Arabidopsis thaliana: one gene and its partners. The protein of the gene in region 1 purifies or fractionates together with the protein of each later gene. This does not show direct contact. Each region holds a gene or a part of one and is shown in the gene's direction. Other genes may lie near its edges.

Region 1 (7,769 bases):
ATCAAGTTCATAAAGAGCTCGAATTAGTTATGCTTTTATTCAAAGTAGAGCAATTTCATAAAACTATAATATATCTTAACTGTAATAACAGATCAGCTGGCTAAATACTATGATGCTACTACTGAAGATGAGATTGCAAAACATAAAACTTGTGGCTTGATGAGTTCATATAGAAGATATAATAATTATGCAAACCAAAATATGTATACGTACGAATCTTCTTTTACCATACGGATCGTCGTCGGATACTGCTTGTCTTTTTCTCTGTTTTTTTCTCCTAAATATCACATATATATTCAATGTGAGAAAGTATGAGAAACAGGACAAAATATAGATATTGGTTCGTAAAGTTTTTAGTGGCTAGAGTTAAATAAGGAATTAAATGAGAGCAAATCTCTTTGATATACACCTCATATCAATGAAAAAACTTAATATTGGTGTATTTGTTTCTTTCGTCCGACTCTTGAAGAATTAAAAGGTTATATACAAAAAAAAATTTGCCCTTTCACATTTTCTAAAGATCATATCATCTTTGATATAATCGTTTGATGCATGTTTACTCATTCATAAACATTTTATAAAATCTTCTATATTATTTTGATTCGAAATTTCACACTCAAAACATAAAATTTCCAAGGATAACCAATGAAATGAATACACAAGATATAATATAAGTTATCACCATAAATTACATAATCAGTATAGATAAAGAAAATGTTCTGAATACCAATTTAGTTTATAAATTTATTTTTTTCGTTTATGATTTATCAATGGTTCAGTTGAGTGGTTTTTAATTAAAAAAATAATATTTTGTTCAACAAAAATTCAGAACGATGGTTGGAAAAAATAAATTAAAACAATGCGTATATTGGATTAAAAATAAATCATATTATATGATTCTATTTGTCCGGGATTTATAAATTGATATGATACGATAAGGTCAGTGATAAAATAAATTGATAAGATAAGGACTTTATATGATTCTATTTCCACCCGTTGGAATCTTTGGTTGGCTATTTATTCTTAGATTCGAGAATCAATTAGCGAAAACAAATACTAGTTTAAAAAAGAAAAAAACTATATGATAAGAGACCGTAATAGACGTGGTACGTTTTAAGTCAAAGGTCAAAAAGCCGAATTATATATTTCTGGCTCCTTCCACAACTTTTGGAAAATTTCCTTCGTAGTTTTCACTTGAACCCATTTTTTAACAACAATTCTTCTACTTGGATTGATAATTCAAAAGGAAACTAACTCTCCCATAGTTAAAACTGAATCACTGTTAAAAAAAAAAAAAAGTAAAGTAAATATACTAAATCAATGTTTTTTTCTCTGGAAGTAAATATACAAGTTTAAAATTAAAGGAGAAGAGAAGCTATATATTGCTTTGCCTCACCATTTAGGAGATAATTCATATGAAGCAAAGAAAGCATATCCTTTGGCATATTCGATAATATATGGCATCTAATCATCTGTATAAGCTTTTCATATTTTTGTTAGATGCTTTTTCGTACAAATGCATTAAGATAAAATTAAACAAAAAAACAAGATATGATATTCAGTTTCGTGAAATATTAAAAGAAGTCAAAAAAAGGGAAAAATGAAAAGTCGAATTGGTGGACAGTGGACTCATTGGTCCACTTAAAAGTCATCAGAACCGTACACATGCAAGCTTGGTCCATTTTCGTATGACGACGTACAAGTTACAACATTCAAAAAACTTCCTAATTTACAAGTTTTTGCTTATGTTTATGGGAAATATTTTTCTGCAACGAAAAATCATTAAGACTATATTTTTCTGTTGGCAAAGACTTGACTCAGTCCCTTTTTACTGCCCATTAGTAATCTTTGGAGTGAAAATACGAATTTAACTAATTTTCTAAAATTTGATTAAAGTCTAAGAGAGAAAAAAAGATTTCGGCTATAAATAAGTTACAACTACACATCGAATGGACTAGAAAATTTTCGCTTCTTATATTTTTTTAAAAAGAAAAACCAAAAAATCCTTTGAAACTTTTTTAGCCTGTCGCTTCTCTTTCCATCGTCTTCCTCGTGAACGAAACTTCTCGATCTTCTTTTCTTTTTTTTCACCTGTTTTTCGGTATCACGAGAATACTACACTTCCCACTCCAGTAATACGCCACTCCTTCTTTTTTTTTTTGTCTCGTTTAAATTTTTATAAACTCCATAATTTTATCTTAAAGTGAATCTTTTTTGTTTTTTTTGTTCCAGCTTTATCGGATATATTTCCTTGATTTTCTCCGATTGTGGTCAATCTGGAAAATTATTGAGAATCTCTCCCTCACTTAACCAAAAGCGTTTTTAATCAGATAGAGAGAGAGGAAAAAGCATCAACCAAACCATGGCTGCGAGAAATTTGGAGAAGATGGCTTCTATTGATGCTCAGCTCAGGCTTCTTGCTCCTGGCAAGGTTTCTGAAGACGACAAGCTTATCGAGTACGATGCTCTGTTACTGGATCGATTTCTCGATATTCTTCAGGATTTGCATGGCGAGGATGTCAGAGAATTCGTATGTTTTCCTCCTTTTCTCACTCTTTCTTCTTTCTTAAATACTGGATTTTTGCTAAAATTTTGAACTTTTAGTTACATAGTGGGTTACCCATCAGTGAATCATCATGTGGGTTTGTTGTTTCTGCTTAGATTATCCATAAAGTTGAATCCTTTTCAGTGATATCGAGCAGATCAGATCACACTGTGTTAAGATTGTTCATGTTATTCTCTGTTTTTGTTGGGTTTGTGAGTATATTTGTTTGCTTCAGTGGCTCATTGAGTTTGCATCTGTGATTGTTTCTGATGATTTTCAGTTTACTGAATCATATAATGTCTTTTGTTTTGTCTAAAAGGTTCAAGAATGCTACGAAGTTGCAGCTGATTACGATGGAAACCGCAACACTGAGAAGCTTGAGGAGCTTGGAAATATGCTGACGAGTTTGGATCCAGGGGATTCAATTGTTGTCACTAAATCATTCTCCAACATGCTTAGCTTGGCTAATCTGGCTGAGGAAGTCCAGATTGCTTACCGGCGTAGGATTAAGAAACTCAAGAAAGGTGATTTCGCTGATGAGGCCTCTGCAACAACGGAATCTGACATTGAAGAGACTCTCAAGAGGCTTTTGCAGCTTAACAAGACTCCTGAAGAGGTCTTTGATGCTCTTAAGAATCAGACTGTTGACTTGGTTTTAACTGCTCATCCCACTCAATCTGTTCGTCGGTCTTTGCTCCAAAAGTTTGGAAGGTTTGTTTAACTTTTTTAGTGTCTTGACATTTTGGATTCCTTGTGTGTGTGACTTGACTGATGTATTTTTTTGTCTCAAATGTTTTCAGGATTCGTGATTGTTTGACGCAGTTATATGCAAAGGACATTACTCCTGATGACAAACAAGAACTCGATGAAGCTCTGCAACGAGAGGTAAGCGAAACTAAAGAACTCAATAAAGCTTCTTTTGCATGAATTCTACTAAAACTCTGTTTTTGTTGCACCAGATTCAAGCTGCTTTTCGCACAGATGAAATCCGAAGAACTCCTCCTACACCGCAAGATGAAATGAGAGCAGGGATGAGCTACTTCCATGAGACAATCTGGAAAGGAGTTCCAAAGTTCTTAAGACGTGTTGACACAGCTTTAAAGAACATTGGAATCAACGAGCGTGTTCCTTACAATGCGCCTCTCATTCAGTTCTCTTCTTGGATGGGCGGAGACCGTGATGGTACACTCTTGCTTCTTTCTTATCTCAAACCATTAAAACATGAATTGGTTCTTATGAGTGAAAACATTTTCTGAATCTAGGAAACCCGCGAGTAACTCCTGAAGTTACAAGAGATGTATGCTTATTAGCTAGAATGATGGCTGCTAATCTCTACTTCTCCCAGATAGAAGATCTTATGTTTGAGGTAGCAAAAATTTTATTCACATCACAGCAATTTAGTTTATTGGTTAATGTTAAGGACAGAGATCTTATTTTTTTTGGTTTGATGTGTTTGTTTGCAGATGTCTATGTGGCGTTGCAATGAGGAACTTCGGGTTCGTGCAGAACGTCAAAGATGTGCGAAGAGGGATGCAAAACACTATATAGGTGTGTGTTACATTCTTGACATTTTTTTATGTGTCCGACATGTTAACAGTTTGTTATATTATGTTTGATGTATGATCGATTTTTGGATGGATGTAGAATTCTGGAAACAAATCCCTGCGAATGAGCCATACCGAGCTATTCTTGGAGATGTGAGGGACAAGCTGTACAACACACGTGAGCGTGCACGTCAGTTATTGTCAAGCGGAGTTTCGGACGTTCCCGAAGACGCGGTTTTCACAAGTGTGGATCAGGTGTGTTTTCGTGCTGTTTGCAGATCAACTAGAGATGTTTAAGCCATATAACTGCAACTTCAATTCCTTTGAAAATTAGAATCGTATTTGATTAAACATGGAAGCTATACCATACTGATGCATAGTTTATTTGGTAACTATTTTTCTAAATTTGAAAATCCCAAACCAAAAGAGAACCAAAATATGGATTGAACCACTCTAAGATCAAAGCTGTTGTTTGTTTCTTGTTTGATTGATTTTATAATTTTCTAACCTTTGATTGTTTCTGTTTCTATCCAAAGTTTTTGGAGCCACTTGAGCTTTGTTACAGGTCGCTCTGTGATTGCGGTGACAGACCTATTGCTGATGGAAGCCTGCTTGATTTCTTACGCCAAGTGTCAACATTTGGCCTTGCTCTTGTGAAACTTGATATCCGTCAAGAATCTGAAAGACACTCTGATGTCTTGGATGCCATCACGACGCACTTAGGTATTGGTTCTTACAAAGAATGGTCGGAGGATAAAAGACAGGAATGGCTGTTATCTGAGCTAAGCGGGAAACGCCCTCTCTTTGGACCGGATCTTCCCAAAACCGAAGAGGTTGCAGATGTGTTGGACACTTTCAAAGTCATTTCTGAGCTTCCTTCGGATAGTTTTGGTGCTTATATTATCTCAATGGCCACTGCTCCATCAGACGTGCTCGCTGTTGAGCTTTTGCAACGCGAATGCGGGATCACTGATCCTCTGAGAGTTGTCCCGTTGTTCGAGAAGCTAGCGGATTTAGAATCCGCACCTGCTGCAGTTGCCCGTCTCTTCTCCATAGAATGGTACAGAAACAGGATCAATGGAAAGCAAGAAGTCATGATCGGGTACTCTGACTCGGGCAAAGATGCTGGTCGTTTATCAGCGGCTTGGCAGTTATACAAGACTCAAGAAGAGCTCGTGAAGGTGGCAAAAGAATACGGAGTCAAGCTGACAATGTTCCACGGAAGAGGTGGGACCGTTGGACGAGGAGGTGGACCTACCCATCTTGCTATTTTGTCTCAGCCTCCGGATACCATTCATGGGCAATTGAGGGTAACGGTTCAAGGTGAAGTTATTGAACAGTCTTTCGGAGAAGAGCACTTATGCTTTAGGACTCTTCAGCGTTTCACAGCTGCAACACTTGAGCATGGAATGCATCCACCGGTTTCCCCTAAGCCTGAGTGGCGTGTCCTCATGGATGAAATGGCTATAATTGCCACTGAAGAATACCGTTCTGTTGTCTTCAAGGAGCCCCGTTTTGTTGAGTACTTCCGTCTGGTAAGTTCTTAACCAGCTCAATTACTCCTCTCTTAAACAAATTGTAGTTAAAAAAGAGAGTCTAAGTTCAGGTTTGGGTTTGTATTATAGGCAACACCAGAGCTCGAGTATGGAAGGATGAACATAGGAAGCCGACCATCAAAACGTAAACCAAGCGGAGGAATCGAGTCGCTGCGTGCAATCCCGTGGATCTTTGCGTGGACTCAGACGAGGTTTCACTTACCCGTGTGGCTTGGCTTTGGAGGAGCATTCAAACGCGTGATACAGAAGGACAGTAAGAATCTCAACATGCTCAAAGAGATGTACAACCAATGGCCATTCTTCCGTGTCACAATTGATCTAGTCGAAATGGTTTTCGCCAAAGGAGATCCCGGAATTGCGGCTCTGTATGACCGCCTCCTCGTCTCTGAAGAACTTCAACCATTCGGTGAACAACTTCGAGTTAACTACCAAGAGACCAGACGCCTCCTCCTCCAGGTATTACTTACTTCCACTATAACCACATTATAGATGTCCCATCCGGTTTCCATGCGGTGTCAGACCATACAAGCTAACTTAACCCGTGCGTTTCGTACCTTTCCAGGTTGCAGGTCACAAAGACATTTTAGAAGGTGACCCTTACTTGAGGCAAAGGCTGCAGCTTCGTGACCCATACATCACGACATTGAACGTGTGTCAAGCCTATACACTCAAGCAGATCCGTGACCCAAGCTTCCACGTCAAAGTCCGGCCACATCTCTCTAAGGACTACATGGAGTCTAGTCCAGCGGCTGAGCTCGTGAAACTGAATCCAAAGAGTGAATACGCACCGGGACTTGAAGATACGGTTATCCTCACCATGAAGGGTATCGCTGCTGGTATGCAAAACACCGGTTAAGGCAGTTTAAAACGTTCTTGTACCATTCCCTAAATCTACGCTATGTAATGTATTATGTTCTATGATGTGATGAAATCTCTCCAACTCCTATCCCGTACGCTTTTTAATGAGTATGATAATTTCTTGTGTTATTCTATTGTTGTTATGTTACCATATCTAGGAAATATATTTCTGAAAGAAACAAGAAAAGAAATCTTTCTTTTCGTTCTAAGATGTTGAAATTACCATTCGTAATATATAAACTCCAAAAATTAAACACTTAAATCCAAAAAATAAACTCTAAATTTTAAACACGAAAATTTGGACAAAATAGGTATGTCATTAAATTCATTTTTTTTGGAAAAACAGTTCCTTAGTTATTCCCTAATGAAGATTAATTCCTTCTAATGTTATATAGTCCATTATTTGAATAAAATATAAAATTGTGCTGAGAAGATAAAGTACAATTAAAATGAGTGGACTGGTGGATAGAGAGTGATGACATGTCATGATATGGTTAGACAGAGAAGAACCAAATGGATCCCACGAGGAATAATATAATGAATAAAATCACTTACTGACACAGACCATTGAGTAGTAATTACCCCGTTTAACCCGCGTTAATTACGCTTGTGTCCCTACGCGCGTCTCAAAGATCTCTCTCTTCTCTGGAGAAAAAATAAAACAAAAGAACAGCGTTCGCCGAGAGATATACATACTCGGATCAGTCGTCAAAAGCTTTGGAATTTGATACTTTTGATTTTTCGAGAATCTTGAAAATCAGTCATGGGTTCTGGAAAAGAGCGTGACACTTTCGTCTACCTCGCTAAGCTCTCTGAGCAAGCTGAGCGTTATGAAGGTAAGGAATCTTCTTCTTCTTCTTCTCACTCGAATCAGGTCTTTTTGATAGCTTCTTGAGCTCGATTTCTGTTTGATTTTACTGGACTTTGATATCATCGAACGGGTTTCAATCGTTTGGTTTGATTGAGAGTTTACGAATGGGGAACTTCTTATCAAGGAATTAGATTCAAAAGTCTTGATTTTTAGCAGATGGGTATTGAAAAATGTGAATTCTTTTTTTCACAGAAATGGTGGAATCAATGAAAAGTGTTGCGAAATTGAATGTTGATCTGACGGTGGAAGAGAGGAACTTACTCTCTGTGGGTTACAAGAACGTGATTGGTTCAAGGAGAGCTTCGTGGAGGATCTTCTCGTCGATTGAACAAAAGGAAGCAGTGAAAGGGAATGATGTTAATGTAAAGAGGATCAAAGAGTATATGGAGAAGGTT
Region 2 (5,454 bases), on another chromosome or scaffold:
CTGTAATCATTTCTCCGATTTAACTATCTCTCTTTCTCTCATTTGCAGTTTTCCTGAAACTTTTCAGAAACCTAATTTGGTTTCTCTTATATATGCTCTTAATGAACCAGTTTATCCGGATTTCGGGTTTGATTCAAGACTCTAACCCTAAAGTCTGTTAGTTGATGCAAAGATGCTCGGAGATTTCATCACAAGAATCATAATGTTAGACCCTCTTTCTCTCTCGTCTTTCCTTCATCTGGTTTTATATTTAGGCATTTTCGTTCTTCTTTCTCTTAGATTTTCTGGAAAATTTGCAGATTGCTTGTGGGTTACGCGTACCCTGCATATGGATGCTACAAAAGCGTGGAAAAGAAAAAGCTTGAGATTCACGAACTTAGATACTGGTGCCAATATTGGTAAAGCTTACTAATTGTTAATAAAGAAGATTCCTTTTTTGGATAAGGGTATCTTATTCTCATAACCATCTTATCAAAAATCCGAATTTGATTTGTAGGATCTTGGTGGCTCTTCTTACTGTTTTCGAAAGGATAGGAGACATCATTGTATCATGGTTAGTACTTATATGTCAAACTTCAAATCTCCATCATATGCTTCTTTATTGTATGAAACCTTCTGATTCATCTCATCTATCCGCAGGTTACCACTCTACGGAGAGATCAAAATCGCTCTTCTCATCTACTTATGTTACCCGAAATCACAGGTACTAACTACAGTACAATGCAATAAAAATCTAATGAGAATTCATTCTCATTCTTAGATTCACAAAACGACCAATCTTCTTCTCTTGGTTTCTAACAGGGACTTAGCTATGTCTACGAGAAGCTACTATGTCCATACATGTCAAAACATGAATCTGACATCGATCAAGGAATCTCTGTCTTAAAGATAAGAGGACATTTAGTAATTGCTCAACTACTGCAATGTATCTTCCACTGGAGCCTCCAAATCTTCAAGCAATTGCAACAACAATTCACCATCTATAAGGTATTCAAAACAAACATATACATCCTCAAGCTTTACTGCATCAGAGCACTCTCACCAAATCCATCACTTCCTTTGTCTACAGAATAAAAACCAATCAAAGTCAAAAGATCAACAACAAACAAGAACTTCTTTAATGTTTCTCCGTTAGAAGGTGCCTGCTATACTACTCTAAGCCACAATCTCAATAACCGGGTTTTTAAACCGCCGGTTAACCGGAGTTTCACATGACTTCAAATTGACCACAGACGAACAAAAAAAAAAAGATTTTTCCTTTGATATGTTTTGAATATTGTAACACTTTATTGTATACAATTCAATTCATGAAAAATCCAATTTTCTCACCAAATCAAAGTTTATTTGACAATCAAAGGAACACGAAACGATTGAAAAATCCAATCAAACACACGTCGCAAGAACTGAAACCCGGCGGATAAGTGAAGCCAAACGCGGCGGAAGAATTGAGAACCAGCAGAATCATCTGACGAAGTAAGCACCGTTGGTTGAAGATAAGACAAAGCAGCTTGCTTAACGAGACGGTTACGAATCGAGATATCTCCGGCGGCGGTGGATATAACAGGAGAGCAGCTACCGTTGATCGACGGTAAATTGAGTGAAGAGTTAATCGGAGAAGAGATGATATCTCTGAGAGAAGTGTAAGCTACGAAAGAGGATGGTTTTACGGAGATGAGCTCGTAATCGAACGAAGACGGCGGCGTTGAAGCTATGTCGAAAGGAACTTCTGGAGGAGTTAGAGTCGTCATGTTGGATATGGATTTTGTACGGCGGAGTTGAGTCGCCGGAGATTGTGACGGCGGAATCTCCATAGTCTTTCTTCTTCTTTTTTTTTGTTTGGTTTGTTTGTGAGTTTGTGGCTGATTGGGTTTTGCGAGTGTTTAAAGTAAGGAAGGAGGTCCAATTATTGATCTCTATGATATGTACATTTGTCACTATCTTGTGTTGTATTAATTAGTAAAGAGATACGTTTACTTTATTTGTATTTTCTTAATTATTATGATTGGAATGGAAGATAGTAGGCAAATTACAAAATTTAAGGATTGATTACTATTTTTGATGTGAAGATTAGATGGAAATATATTCGGAAATCCAACCAGCCTAAAAATAGATTTTGATTTAATTATCAAAGTATGATCATCAACACGGTGTCGTTCCGGTTCATCGAACATTCCACTTCTTTCTTCTTGTCTGAAAAATCTAGAAGAGCAGCTATTTGGTTTCTCTATCCGATTCGTCTCTCTCACGCCCTCACGTTTATCCACCTCATCCTCAAACCAAACCACAAGACCTCTTTTTTAAGTAACCAATCACAGAGAGATAGAGAGAGAGAACAGAGTCAATGTCAATGGCGTCTATAGCTTCTTCTTCTTCCACCACCCTACTCTCTTCCTCTAGGGTTCTTCTTCCCTCCAAGTCTTCTCTTTTATCTCCTACCGTCTCTTTCCCCAGAATCATACCCTCTTCCTCGGCATCATCCTCTTCTCTCTGTTCCGGGTTCTCCAGTCTCGGTTCCCTCACCACCAACCGCTCCGCCTCACGCCGGAACTTCGCCGTCAAGGCTCAGGCTGTAAGTTGACTCGCAATGCCATAAATTTCTTGTATTTGCTCCATCTTCTCATTCACTATGATTGTTGTATGAATTCGTTAGCTTGTTATAATGGGATCCGTACTATTTTCCTGCTTCTTATCTCTTAAGGGTTTTGAGATCATTGGATAAAAGACTAAACTTTAAACTTTTTAGAGTTCTGCGATTTGAATTGAGCGACATTTTTGTTACCCTTCTTTCGGGTTTAATTAGGGATGGGAGGAAATGATCTGAAATTAATTAATATGATTCACATTTGGCTCATACACAGAAATCTTTTGAGCCCTGCATAGATAGTGAACACCAGTTAAAGAACATTTTGTGTGGTTAAACAATTCGATGATCGATGACTGACTAGTGTTTATATGTTTTATGAATGCAGGATGATTTACCACTGGTCGGTAATAAGGCGCCTGATTTTGAAGCTGAGGCAGTTTTTGATCAAGAGTTCATAAAGGTACTTTCATTCCATTCAAACCTTATTTAACATGTTAGTTAGTTAAGTGTCATAAGCTAAGGTCAATGCAGTAGAGCAATGTTCTGATAGTAATCGACCTATGAATCATGGTTTCAGGTGAAGCTCTCTGAGTACATTGGCAAAAAGTATGTTATTCTATTCTTCTACCCTTTGGACTTCACTTTTGTCTGCCCCACTGGTTAGTATTCTGCTAAGGAAATAGCTTCAAAACTGAAACTCTCGCCCTCATAGTCACTGAAATTTCCAATTTTTCTTTGCTTATTCTAGAGATTACTGCCTTCAGTGACCGTTATGAAGAATTTGAGAAGCTAAACACCGAAGTATTAGGGGTCTCTGTCGACAGTGTGGTAAGTCAAATTTTTATTTCTCCACCTGAACCAAGAAAGAACATTCTGGTCTCAGCATTTTGAAAAATGGTTTCAAGTATTTGATGTACTCAGAACCTTGGCAAGTGGCAGTCTGATAATCGAATGGAACGTTTTCTTTTGGATAATGGAACGTTTGATTCCATGTTCATGTAGTTCTCGCATCTTGCGTGGGTCCAAACAGACAGAAAGTCGGGAGGGCTCGGTGATCTGAATTATCCTCTTGTTTCGGATATCACTAAATCCATTTCAAAATCGTTTGGAGTGCTCATCCCTGATCAGGTAAACGATTTCTTCTGACATAGTTGCATCATACTTGCATTGAGTCCAATCCACTTGTGTTCTTTCAAGTAACGTATAGCCACTTTGAATCAAAGCATTTTGCTAATATATAAGTACAGGGCATTGCACTGAGAGGGCTTTTCATCATAGACAAGGAAGGAGTCATTCAGCATTCCACCATCAACAACCTCGGTATTGGCCGAAGTGTTGATGAGACAATGAGAACCCTCCAGGTAATAAAGAGAAAAATCACATCATTGAGATAGATAGATAAAGAGAGATTTGTTTTTGAGGTTTAGGGTTTAGATGCGTTATTTGTTGCTTCTTGTGATGTTGTCTTGCAGGCATTACAGTATGTTCAAGAAAACCCGGATGAAGTGTGCCCTGCGGGATGGAAGCCAGGGGAGAAATCAATGAAACCTGACCCCAAGCTCAGCAAAGAATACTTTTCAGCTATCTAGAGGCTAAGATTGAACACATGTTTGGTGAAAATTAGCAATCAGAGTTGTTTTATTCGTCTTTTCAAAGTTGGAGCAGAGTTGTTATTTTTAGCCAAAGAACCTTTGTATCTATCTCATCTTTCTCCTGTTTCTGCTATGTGATTCTCCTTAAATTGAATCAAAAATAAAGAAATCCTTCTTTTCTTTTGCCAATATTTATGTCTTTCACTTGTGTAAATAGTTTATAATAATGCAAAGAGGCAGAGTATTTTGACCATTGCAAAAAATAAATTAGAAAAATATCATGTGAGGTCACAGCTCCCTGGAATTAGATAACTATCTGATTGATTTGTTTAATAAACTTGAGTGCTCATTAAGCTAATCTCCATCTGTAGCCGACAACAAAATTATGTTGTGGTATTACTCGGAATATTCTCCACTCGGATTAATTAAAAAATATCGTACATGATAATTTTCTGGTTAAATAAAAATCTGATACCTTTGACACGAGAAAAAAGTTAAAAACTAGAAGTTATGGATAAAATCAGAAAATAACCAAAAGAAAAGGATCGTTTTGTCATTTCTTGAAAATAGCCCTATCCTTTTTTTCCATTAAACCAAAATGTACAAAGACAAGTGGGGAGTGATAGGGTTTGGTATATACGCGGTTAGCAGTTACCCACATGGTTTATCCACTTCACACATTTAAACCACCCCTACAAAATAATGTTTATCAAAACGACCCCAATACTTTCTTTTGTCTTCTTTCCGCCCTTACCTTCTGATGTTAAACAACTTAATTTCCGCTGTACACTGCTTTTACCAAAAAATAAACTCCCCATAATACATCCTTACGTAGCGGTAGCTACCTCCGAACCCGGTACATAACTTATCCGGTCCACTTCATCCCAAACCAATTTTGATGTTATCTCATCAAACTCCGGTTCATATTCCTATAACATCATTTTTAGAGTACGTACCATCAACAAATGAACCATGTATCGAATGTCTTATATTGGCACGAATATGAGGCTCGAAATATACCTCGAGTTGTCGAACCAACTCTTTAGCGTTTGGAGCTGAGACGATGATTCGACGAGCCATTGGGGATATAAATCCTTCGTCCACAGCCTTATCAATAAACGTTAACAGCGAGTTGTAGTAACCATCCACGTTAAGAAGACCCACCTGTCAAAAATTATTGACCAAAAATAATGTTAGAAACCAAATATCTTTAAATAGTATAAAAGAAAGATTACGACATGGGAAGCTTCCGGTCTCACAATCAGGGGTTATGTAGTC
Region 3 (5,449 bases), on another chromosome or scaffold:
TCCCAGAGAACCATCCTCATTTCATTGGCACTTACTGGGGAGCAGTGAGCACTCTTTTCTGCTCTGAGATTGTCGAGTCCGCGGATGCTTACATCTTCGCAGGTCCAATCTTCAACGACTACAGCTCCGTTGGTTACTCACTTCTCCTCAAGAAAGAAAAAGCCATCATTGTGCATCCTGATAGTGTCGTTGTGGCTAATGGTCCTACCTTTGGTTGCGTTCGGATGAGCGAATTCTTCAGGGAGTTGGCTAAGAGGGTGAAACCTAACAAGACGGCTTATGAGAACTACCATAGAATCTTTGTCCCTGAAGGTAAGCCTTTGAAATGCAAACCAAGAGAGCCTTTGAGAATCAACGCAATGTTCCAACACATTCAGAAGATGCTCTCTAATGAAACCGCTGTGATTGCTGAAACTGGTGATTCTTGGTTCAATTGTCAGAAACTTAAGCTGCCTAAAGGATGTGGGTACGTATCTAGAAAAAGGAAACTAAATCTTTTACCTTTTAACATTGTTGAAGCAGTCAATATAAGCTCATCTAGTAAAGTCAACATCTAGAAATTGCTGGTTAAAGAGTGGTGGTATATATGTACTTGGTTGGAAACGATATAAAATGCCTTGGTATTTAGCCTGAGATGATTTATGGGCCTATATAGATATCCCCAGAACTTTTTAGTAATTCTCTGGAAAAGAAAAAACACACAAGAGTTTTAAAAAGTCGTTGTTCTCTATATTGTAGGTACGAGTTTCAAATGCAGTATGGATCAATTGGTTGGTCTGTTGGTGCGACTCTAGGATACGCTCAAGCAACACCGGAGAAGAGAGTGTTGTCTTTCATTGGAGACGGAAGTTTCCAAGTGACGGCTCAGGACGTTTCCACAATGATTCGTAACGGACAGAAGACCATCATCTTCCTGATCAACAACGGTGGCTACACCATTGAAGTTGAGATTCATGATGGTCCTTACAATGTGATCAAGAATTGGAACTACACTGGTCTTGTCGATGCTATTCATAATGGTGAAGGCAAATGCTGGACCACAAAGGTAATTGATGTTTACAGTTGGAAATTAAACATATGAGTCCAGGGTTGAAGAGTAACATTATGAATGTTGTGTTTTTGGTAGGTGAGATACGAGGAGGAGTTAGTGGAAGCGATTAACACGGCGACATTGGAGAAGAAAGATAGTCTTTGTTTCATTGAAGTGATTGTTCACAAGGATGATACGAGCAAAGAGTTGCTTGAGTGGGGCTCTCGCGTCTCAGCTGCTAATGGTCGTCCTCCCAATCCTCAGTAGAAGCAAGAGAAAAGAAACGAATCTTGAGTGTCGCTCAAGCATCTATCGTTTATTGGCAATCTAATCACATCGCTACTTTTGTTCTTTCTCTTATGTCTAATTAAGTACTGGTTTCGATTTTTTGACCGCTGGTTTTAATTGATTTTGCTTTTAATATCCTTCATATTAGGGAACCCCTTGTTGACAAAGTTTTCATTATAAACTTCAATATTTCTGCTTTTTCTTAAACGTGAAATGAAAATTGTTGATGGAATCAGGATGGAATATTCTAATCTTATTAATGCCTTTACGTGCATGTAAATTATTGAGTTCCAATAATTATACTAACTTCTCAATATAAGGTAATAAAATTCTTGAACAATACGAATCTAGTATTTCTTTAGGTTCTTTTTCGTTTCTTTGGCAGCTACTTAATGTAAGTTATATCATAGTTAAGACGAAAATCAGAGACTTAATGCTGCATTAATGGTTCATCTTGGCAAACAAGTTCAAAGATACATATATAGTTAATAACAAAAATAAAATAAAAAATCCATGTTATACTCTAATATAGTTTGAAAATAAATTTATTTTCATCATCTTCTAACGTAAAATGTCTTTTCGTATCACAAAAAATTATAAATTTTTTAGTGCAAAATAAAACGTCCGTGTTTCGTGTATATAAGTATCAATTTATATAAGTAAATTTCTATCTGTAAAAAAGTAACTAAATGTAAGATGACAGCAAGAAAATTGCAAAAATATTTCAGTAAATCTTTATGCTTTTGGCACAAGGAAGTCAGAAACCGAATGTAATTTGCACTAATCAACATGTACAACTATATAACCCATCTAATAATTCCAATTTATTACTCATCATCACCACTAAAATAAATACTAAAAGGTTTCATTTTCTTCATAATAAGCTTTCCAATGGACACCAAAATTGGAGCCATCGACACGTGTAAGCCAACAACTGGTGACATCGGAAGTCCACCAAGCAACGCCGTCGCAACAATCCAAGACTCCGCTCCCATCACCACAACCTCCGAATCGACTCTAGGACGTCACTTATCCCGCCGTCTTGTCCAAGCCGGAGTCACCGATGTTTTCTCTGTTCCCGGTGATTTCAACCTAACTCTTCTCGACCACCTCATCGCCGAGCCAGAGCTCAACAACATCGGATGCTGTAACGAGCTTAACGCCGGTTACGCCGCCGATGGATACGCTCGATCTCGTGGAGTCGGTGCTTGCGTCGTGACTTTCACCGTTGGTGGACTCAGCGTTTTGAACGCTATCGCTGGTGCGTACAGTGAGAACCTACCAGTTATATGTATCGTTGGAGGTCCTAACTCCAACGATTTTGGCACTAACCGGATTCTTCATCACACCATCGGTTTACCTGACTTTAGCCAAGAGCTTAGGTGTTTCCAAACTGTTACTTGCTACCAGGTATTAACACATTTCAATATCAACTAGTCTTGATCATCACATATATATCTCCTTTGCTTAGATTTTAACTATGTGTTTGTTTTCAGGCTGTGGTGAACAATTTGGAGGATGCTCATGAACAGATCGACAAGGCGATAGCAACAGCTTTGAAAGAGAGCAAGCCTGTGTACATTAGCATCAGTTGCAACTTAGCTGCAACTCCTCATCCTACGTTTGCTCGTGATCCTGTCCCTTTTGACCTAACTCCTAGGTAATCATTACTCTAAACAGACTCATCGAATCAACGTTTGTTTTAGATTTCTCACTATTGTATGTATTGTTTCTTAGGATGAGCAACACGATGGGTTTAGAAGCTGCGGTGGAAGCAACATTGGAGTTTCTGAACAAGGCAGTGAAGCCAGTTATGGTTGGTGGCCCAAAGTTGCGTGTGGCTAAAGCAAGTGAGGCCTTTTTGGAGCTAGCTGATGCTTCAGGCTACCCTCTCGCAGTGATGCCTTCTACAAAAGGCCTTGTACCAGAGAACCATCCTCATTTCATTGGCACTTACTGGGGAGCAGTAAGCACACCTTTCTGCTCTGAGATTGTCGAATCTGCGGATGCTTACATCTTCGCAGGTCCAATCTTCAACGACTACAGCTCCGTAGGTTACTCTCTTCTCCTCAAGAAAGAAAAAGCAATAATTGTGCATCCTGATCGAGTCGTTGTGGCTAATGGTCCAACGTTTGGTTGCGTTCTGATGAGCGATTTCTTCAGGGAGTTGGCTAAGAGGGTTAAGCGTAACGAGACAGCTTATGAGAACTATGAGAGGATCTTTGTACCTGAAGGTAAGCCATTGAAATGCAAACCAGGAGAGCCATTGAGGGTCAACGCAATGTTCCAACACATTCAGAAGATGCTCTCTAGTGAAACCGCTGTGATTGCTGAAACTGGTGATTCTTGGTTCAATTGTCAGAAGCTAAAGCTGCCTAAAGGATGTGGGTACGTGTCTAACAAAGAAACTGAATCTTTGACATTTCTAACATTGTGACAATAGCGAAACAAACACAAGTTTTGAGAAAAGTTGTTCTCTATATTGTAGGTACGAGTTTCAGATGCAGTATGGATCCATTGGTTGGTCTGTTGGTGCGACTCTAGGATACGCCCAAGCAACCCCGGAGAAGAGAGTGTTGTCTTTCATTGGAGATGGGAGTTTCCAAGTGACTGCTCAGGACATATCCACGATGATTCGTAACGGACAGAAGGCGATCATCTTCTTGATCAACAACGGTGGCTACACCATTGAAGTTGAGATTCATGATGGTCCTTACAATGTTATCAAGAACTGGAACTACACTGGTCTTGTCGATGCTATTCATAACGGTGAAGGAAAATGCTGGACCACAAAGGTAATTAATGATTACAACTAGTAACTAACGTATGAATTTGGTGTTGAAGTAACATTGTGTTTGGCAGGTGAGATACGAGGAGGAGTTAGTGGAAGCGATTAAGACTGCGACAACGGAGAAGAAAGATAGTCTTTGTTTCATTGAAGTGATTGTTCACAAAGATGATACAAGCAAAGAGTTGCTTGAGTGGGGATCTCGCGTCTCAGCTGCTAATGGTCGTCCTCCCAATCCTCAGTAGAAGCAAGAGAAAAGAATCTTGAGTGTGACTCAAGCATCTCTCGTTTCTTTGCAATTGAATTAGATTGTTTTCTGTTCGAATTTTCGAATTTTCGACCGTTGGTTTTAATTGCTTTTGATACTTTCCAGTTAGTTGTACTGTACCATTACCATTGATGGTGTAATACAATTCCCTTTTTCCCTAATATTCTTCAATATTTGTGCTTTTTCTTATATGTAAAGTCCGAAAAAAATCAATTGATTCAACCTAAATCAAACATTTTTAAACCATCTTACATCTCAATTGGGTTAAAATTTATTTGACTTTTTTTTCTTTTTATCTGTCTTGTTTTCTTGCCATTTAAGTTTATAACTCAAGAACAAAATCAAAAACTTAATAACCAGAAGAAGATGAAAACCTAAGAACAGAGATGAATTTTTACAGAGACTGAATCTGAACCAAAATCACAATATATATTACCCGTAACAATTAGATAACAAAGAAAAAAAAATCCTAACCGAAATAGAACCGGTCGTTATAACTACTACGTCTCTGCTCTAGCCACAAGGCGATTGTTTTGGAGTAAATGGTCTGGAAATTGAGAATGGCAGCTTCTGACATGTGATTTAAGTTTTGGAATATTTGGGTGTGCGCTTCTACACCGATTGCAACGCAGCTCACCTTTCAACAGATCTTCGCTCGCCACATTGGCCTTGCCTTGGCTGTTGACCTCTTCAAGTACATCAACTGAGTCACGGAAGAACGAGGTCGTGAAAGAGTTCCAGTGTTTCTTGTTCTTCAAACTATCTGAATTAAAGTCTTGGCTTATAACGTGTAAGTGTAGTTGTCGCATCGAGGGAACCTGAAAGAGAAAAACTCAATGTATGTTAAACATATCAATTTCAATGATTTTGCTAATGAACTCTTAGGTTTAACCTCTAAAACGACCGAACAGAAAGTGCAAATCTGAAGTCTACACTCAGGGGAAACAGAAAATTCAGCAGTGCTTTGAATGTAAAGGATGACTTAAGTACCGAGTGATATCCAAGGCGGAAGATAAGAGATGCATCCTCGTTCTGGAATCTATCAACCCATTTCAGACCAACATTGTGCATTTCC
Region 4 (5,782 bases), on another chromosome or scaffold:
AGGGATTAAAACGTTTCAGAAACGTTTGGAAACTAAACTACAAAGGGATTCAGTAATTTATTCAATGCTTATTTCGAACAATGATGATAGCATTAAGATCTTACAGCCGATTAAATTTGCGCAAACAATGATGATAGCATTAAGTTTTTAATCGATATGTCTTCGATTTACATTGTCTATTGTATACTTACAAACTTTTATGCCATATGAACTGTTTTCTTATATTAAAGATTGAAAATGTTTTATGGGGAAGAAGATTACATGATTGGATAGGAATCTTGAATATCTCTACAAAAACGGCCTTGTTTCTAATCAATCTATGCCAAAGTCAATCCGTTTTTTATAACCCAAATTAGCTATAAAACCTACTGCTATATAAACTGGATGCAACGGGACAACCAAATGCATTATGTAGTTTTCCACTTATCGAAGAAATGAAATTGATAATGTGAGACTTCTGTAGCAGAAAGCTCATCATGATCAAGCCTTATAAAACATTTCAAAATCTAATTCATAATGAAAATTTGCCTAGCCATTTAACTAGCTAGGGCCATTAGGCCCAATGTCCAAATAGCCTGAACGCTGGGAAAAAGTGGGGCTTTCGGAACAGAACAAATAAAATTTGACGCACTTTATTGTGTTGCAAGCTACTTCTTGAAGTATATATTTTGATTCTCGAAACGTCTTCAGTTCTGTACAAATTTAAATATTCTATTGAAAAAGAAATCTTGGTCGTCGTCGTCGAATCGGATACGTTAACGTTACGACATACGAGTCACCATTAGGGCCGTAGACGAAATACTAGGAGACGCATGAAGGTCACGTGTATCACCGTTGCAGCACATAAGTTTTCACCTCTCAGTATTGAACATGCGCCGTATTTCAATTTCAAGCTTATAAGAATATTATTTTCTGTTTTGTCTCGTCACGTAGAAGAACACTCAACACAACGGGTCATATAAAAACAATCAATTGACCAATTGAAACACTTACCATTAGCTTTACTAAAACAAAAAGTGCTACAGCTCAATTATTTCGACGTACTTTTTTTTTTTTTTTTTTTGGTCTTTTGTGGCCTATTTCGACGTTCTTTAAAACCACGATCATAGTGGTTTGGGATATAGTAATTAATTTCATGTGTTTAACCAAAAGGTAGGAAAAGTAATTAATTATTAGTTGTTGAGAAATCAAGTTGCAAAGGAGATTACCGGCGACTCCGTTGGTTTATGAAACAAACAATGAGACGGTTTAGAATGACGGTGGCCCCAATATTTTAGGTCTGCTCATATTATTTTGAATGATTTAATTTTTTTTATTTAAATAAGGTACCCTTATATACATAAATGATTTAATTTAGTAAAAGCTTTTGTTTATATTGCTTTTATACAAGTTTTTGGGTATGACTATTTTAACCTCAATCCTCAAAACTATAAAATCTATTATTGCACGCTTGGATTTTATATATATATATTCAATCTATAAGAACTAAAAAATAAAAGTGATCATAGTCAAATAATTTTTGCATAAATACTTAATATTGCTACCCAAAAAAAAGAAAATTGCATAAATTTATGTATAATTACATTATGAAAAATTATTGATATGTTGATATACAGTTTTCTAGGAAATATCAATATGAAAAGAAAAAAAGAAAAAAAAACATTGTAAGCTATTTCCCTTGAATTACACTATATGTATGTGTGACAGTATATATGTGTGAGCTTAATCATATAATTACCGTAACATCACTATTGATCTTGAAAGTTACGACGACAAAAACAAGATTCCATCATAGATCTACGTGTATCTTTTGTGTGATTAGTATATAACCAAAGCGATTAAGTGAATTTAAAATTTGTAGATATTTCTTACTTAACTGATTATACTATAAGAAGCAAACCCCAAAACCATCTGCATCTCAACGACGATAATCGTCCGAATATGTTTTTCTAATAGAGTTTGCTGACCAAATGCAAATGGCATCACGTCTCTTGCCGTTTGACGCTAGCAATTACACTTCTTCATTGAAACTTTAAAAGTGAACCCAAAGAATTAACTCAATAATAACTGATGAGTATACAAATTATTGTTTCCGGCTAAAAACCTGAAATTAACTCAAATTTGGAATGGGGATATTATAACTTTGTTCCCACGTATAACAAATTAGTTCATAATTAAGAGGAGAATCACAAAAATAACTGATGTATTGATGTTCAATTTTGGAAAATTAAGATATTTCCAATGGTAATAATCTGTTACAGCCTTACTGGGAGTAGTATGATACTAAAACAGTAAATGCATTTTAGACCGACATAAACAATAATTAAGAAGAAGAATGTTTGGGTCAAATCTCAAAGTTAGATATTATTTTTTTGCTTTTTGCACAAGAAAACAGAAACCAAAAACCACTAGTCAAAAAACCACCCATGTATTCCTCCTAGTCTCTAATCCAACAACTATATAAAAACCTCTCCCATTCTCATTTTGTTACTCATCCCAAAAATAAAAAGAGTATATCTCTCACACACATACACAAACTTGACAGTTTTTTAATTTCTCTGTTAGTGAACTCAAACCTTCCCATTTCCATGGACACCAAAATCGGATCGATCGATGATTGCAAGCCGACGAACGGCGACGTCTGTAGTCCAACAAACGGCACCGTCGCAACAATCCACAACTCTGTTCCTTCCTCCGCTATCACCATCAACTACTGCGACGCGACTCTCGGCCGTCACTTAGCTCGTCGTCTCGTCCAAGCCGGCGTTACGGATGTTTTCTCTGTTCCCGGAGATTTCAACCTCACTTTGCTTGATCACCTCATGGCTGAGCCGGACCTCAACCTAATCGGATGTTGTAACGAGCTAAACGCCGGTTACGCTGCCGACGGTTACGCTAGATCTCGTGGAGTCGGCGCTTGCGTTGTTACCTTCACCGTTGGTGGACTCAGCGTTTTAAACGCGATCGCTGGTGCTTACAGCGAGAATCTTCCTCTTATCTGTATCGTCGGAGGTCCTAACTCTAACGATTATGGCACTAACCGGATTCTTCATCACACCATTGGATTACCTGATTTTAGCCAAGAGCTTAGGTGCTTCCAAACGGTGACTTGTTATCAGGTAATCACAAAAAATCAGATCTAATTAGAAATATTTTGAAGATTAATTAGCGTCGGATTATGAATGATTTTGGTTCTGTTTTTGTTTCTCAGGCGGTGGTGAACAATTTAGATGATGCTCATGAACAGATTGATAAAGCAATATCAACAGCTTTGAAAGAGAGCAAGCCTGTGTATATAAGTGTAAGCTGTAACTTAGCAGCGATTCCTCATCATACATTTAGCCGTGATCCTGTCCCTTTTTCTCTAGCTCCAAGGTAATTTATACTTGAACTCTGATCAATACTCTGTTTCTGCGAGAATTAAAACTCACAAATGGTTTTATCAGATTGAGCAACAAGATGGGTTTAGAAGCTGCGGTGGAAGCAACATTGGAGTTTCTGAATAAGGCTGTGAAGCCAGTTATGGTTGGTGGTCCTAAGTTGCGTGTGGCTAAAGCTTGTGATGCCTTTGTTGAGCTAGCTGATGCTTCAGGCTATGCTTTGGCGATGATGCCTTCTGCGAAAGGCTTTGTACCAGAGCACCATCCTCATTTCATTGGAACTTATTGGGGAGCAGTGAGCACTCCTTTTTGCTCTGAGATTGTGGAATCTGCGGATGCTTACATTTTTGCAGGTCCAATCTTCAACGACTATAGCTCTGTTGGTTACTCGCTTCTCCTCAAGAAAGAAAAAGCCATCGTTGTGCAACCTGATCGTATCACTGTGGCCAATGGTCCTACTTTTGGTTGCATTTTGATGAGCGATTTCTTCAGGGAATTGTCTAAGAGGGTGAAGCGTAACGAGACTGCATATGAGAACTACCATAGGATCTTTGTCCCTGAAGGTAAGCCATTGAAGTGTGAATCAAGAGAGCCATTGAGAGTTAACACAATGTTCCAGCACATTCAGAAGATGCTCTCTAGTGAAACCGCTGTGATTGCTGAAACCGGTGATTCTTGGTTCAATTGCCAAAAACTAAAGCTGCCAAAAGGATGTGGGTAAGTGTCCAGAAAAAAAAAGAGACTCTAATCTTTACACTTATTATAGTGAAGTAGGCACAAGATTTGAACCTGCTTTCTTCATTGTAGGTACGAGTTTCAGATGCAGTATGGATCGATTGGGTGGTCTGTTGGTGCAACTCTAGGATACGCACAGGCATCACCAGAGAAGCGAGTGTTGGCATTCATCGGTGATGGGAGTTTCCAAGTCACGGTTCAGGACATATCAACAATGCTGCGTAATGGACAGAAGACGATCATCTTCTTGATTAACAATGGTGGCTACACCATTGAAGTAGAGATTCATGACGGTCCTTATAACGTGATTAAGAACTGGAACTACACTGGTCTCGTTGACGCCATTCATAACGGTGAAGGCAATTGCTGGACTGCAAAGGTAATTAAAAAGATTGATGACAATGGAGTTTTAGCCAGACTTTGGTTATAAACTAACATATGAATTTGGTGTGTTTGACAGGTGAGATACGAAGAGGAGTTAGTGGAGGCGATTACGACAGCGACGACGGAGAAGAAAGATTGTCTATGTTTCATAGAAGTGATTCTTCACAAGGATGATACGAGCAAAGAGTTGCTTGAGTGGGGCTCACGCGTCTCTGCTGCTAACAGCCGTCCTCCCAATCCTCAGTAGAAGAAGCAACACAGAATCTTCAATGCTTCTTACCAATTTAGTGACATTTTCTGATAAGTGTTGATTTTTCGACCGTTGGGTTTAATCATGTTTCAAACTTATTAGTATCTCTTTCCATGTACGCTTTATCATGGAATAAAGTAAAGCTCCTTTTGCAGTTTCATTAGATTGAACAAATCCAAATGGTTCAATCTAAATCAATTTGGTTAATATCATATGATCTTTTTTGCATTTAAACTTGCTAAAAAATCGAACTAACCATGTTTTGCTAGAATTTTGAACCACATATCCTAGTGAAGAATACCATCCAACCTGGATGACCAATCTATTGAAGATAAATGTCAGTTGAAGGGCTTAAAATCATATCACTTATATAGCTAAGTTTCCTACATATAACATGTATTAACACATTAGTTCTGTATCATTGGAGCTAGTGACCTTATTTAAGATGCTCATTCATGTCTCTGAATGTATCTAAGTTTAAACAGGAGAGATTTTGACAGTGAACGGGCATCTTAAGGATCAACATAAGAAAACAAAATTAAATGGTTAAGATTTCCAAACTCAGGCAAGAGATTTTCCAGACCATTCTCGCTCCCTTCGTTTTTGTTTGGCTTGCATTCTGTTGAACTTCTCTTTTCCCTTTTCAAGAAGAGGGTCAACCACCATATACGCATCTGGATCATCCCTGCGTGACATTTTATCCTGCAGGATAGTTTCACACTGTCAGGTTCTTCCACAGGACACTATAAACACAAACATAGCTCAGCCTTCTGATGAAATCATTTGTGATTAGCATGCACTATCCTATGAACTACTGGATTTTCGATTTTAATGTTAACTAAACAGAACAACGTAGTAATGAATCCATTAGATCCGCACTCAAGTGAGATGGAACCTTAGAGATTTACCTTGCCACGCTCAGGAGCAAACTTGAGCTTTACATTCTTCCAATCAGAGAGATCTTCTTCTTTATTGTCAACTGGTTCACTACTCGAGGTCAACACTACTGGTTCATTACTCGAGGTAAACGGTT

What was found.
Region 2: the proteins of PPC2 (region 1) and 2-Cys Prx B fractionate together in Arabidopsis thaliana (co-fractionation; one large-scale study listed by BioGRID). This does not show direct contact.
Region 3: the proteins of PPC2 (region 1) and AT5G01320 fractionate together in Arabidopsis thaliana (co-fractionation; one large-scale study listed by BioGRID). This does not show direct contact.
Region 4: the proteins of PPC2 (region 1) and AT4G33070 fractionate together in Arabidopsis thaliana (co-fractionation; one large-scale study listed by BioGRID). This does not show direct contact.

Annotation. Positions count from the first base shown.
Region 1 is NC_003071.7:17,733,273-17,741,041, reverse strand, and holds PPC2 (phosphoenolpyruvate carboxylase 2), read left to right. Parts: upstream 1-1,874; 5' UTR 1,875-2,132; exon of another isoform or gene 2,133-2,232; 5' UTR 2,233-2,362; coding exon 2,363-2,530; intron 2,531-2,864; coding exon 2,865-3,256; intron 3,257-3,345; coding exon 3,346-3,430; intron 3,431-3,504; coding exon 3,505-3,727; intron 3,728-3,807; coding exon 3,808-3,911; intron 3,912-4,008; coding exon 4,009-4,093; intron 4,094-4,189; coding exon 4,190-4,344; intron 4,345-4,625; coding exon 4,626-5,624; intron 5,625-5,714; coding exon 5,715-6,101; intron 6,102-6,207; coding exon 6,208-6,501; 3' UTR 6,502-6,740; downstream 6,741-7,769. Other genes in the region: GRF9 (general regulatory factor 9), read left to right, coding at 7,267-7,339, 7,567-7,769. UniProt on the Arabidopsis thaliana protein: Through the carboxylation of phosphoenolpyruvate (PEP) it forms oxaloacetate, a four-carbon dicarboxylic acid source for the tricarboxylic acid cycle.
Region 2 is NC_003076.8:1,917,039-1,922,492, forward strand, and holds 2-Cys Prx B (2-cysteine peroxiredoxin B), read left to right. Parts: upstream 1-2,041; 5' UTR 2,042-2,341; coding exon 2,342-2,569; intron 2,570-2,969; coding exon 2,970-3,044; intron 3,045-3,161; coding exon 3,162-3,243; intron 3,244-3,332; coding exon 3,333-3,412; intron 3,413-3,586; coding exon 3,587-3,712; intron 3,713-3,831; coding exon 3,832-3,945; coding exon of another isoform or gene 3,946-3,978; exon of another isoform or gene 3,979-4,056; coding exon 4,057-4,173; 3' UTR 4,174-4,387; downstream 4,388-5,454. Other genes in the region: AT5G06280 (uncharacterized protein), read right to left, coding at 1,341-1,811; LOG7 (Putative lysine decarboxylase family protein), read right to left, coding at 5,004-5,105, 5,197-5,340.
Region 3 is NC_003076.8:128,386-133,834, reverse strand, and holds AT5G01320 (Thiamine pyrophosphate dependent pyruvate decarboxylase family protein), read left to right. Parts: upstream 1-2,147; 5' UTR 2,148-2,209; coding exon 2,210-2,728; intron 2,729-2,814; coding exon 2,815-2,978; intron 2,979-3,055; coding exon 3,056-3,706; intron 3,707-3,806; coding exon 3,807-4,113; intron 4,114-4,180; coding exon 4,181-4,351; 3' UTR 4,352-4,572; downstream 4,573-5,449. Other genes in the region: PDC3 (pyruvate decarboxylase-3), read left to right, coding at 1-466, 739-1,045, 1,127-1,297; APTX (APRATAXIN-like protein), read right to left, coding at 4,875-5,192, 5,365-5,449.
Region 4 is NC_003075.7:15,951,483-15,957,264, reverse strand, and holds AT4G33070 (Thiamine pyrophosphate dependent pyruvate decarboxylase family protein), read left to right. Parts: upstream 1-2,461; 5' UTR 2,462-2,588; coding exon 2,589-3,119; intron 3,120-3,211; coding exon 3,212-3,375; intron 3,376-3,446; coding exon 3,447-4,097; intron 4,098-4,187; coding exon 4,188-4,494; intron 4,495-4,575; coding exon 4,576-4,746; 3' UTR 4,747-5,008; downstream 5,009-5,782. Other genes in the region: AT4G33060 (Cyclophilin-like peptidyl-prolyl cis-trans isomerase family protein), read right to left, coding at 5,311-5,451, 5,658-5,782. UniProt on the Arabidopsis thaliana protein: May play a role in ethanolic fermentation during anoxia.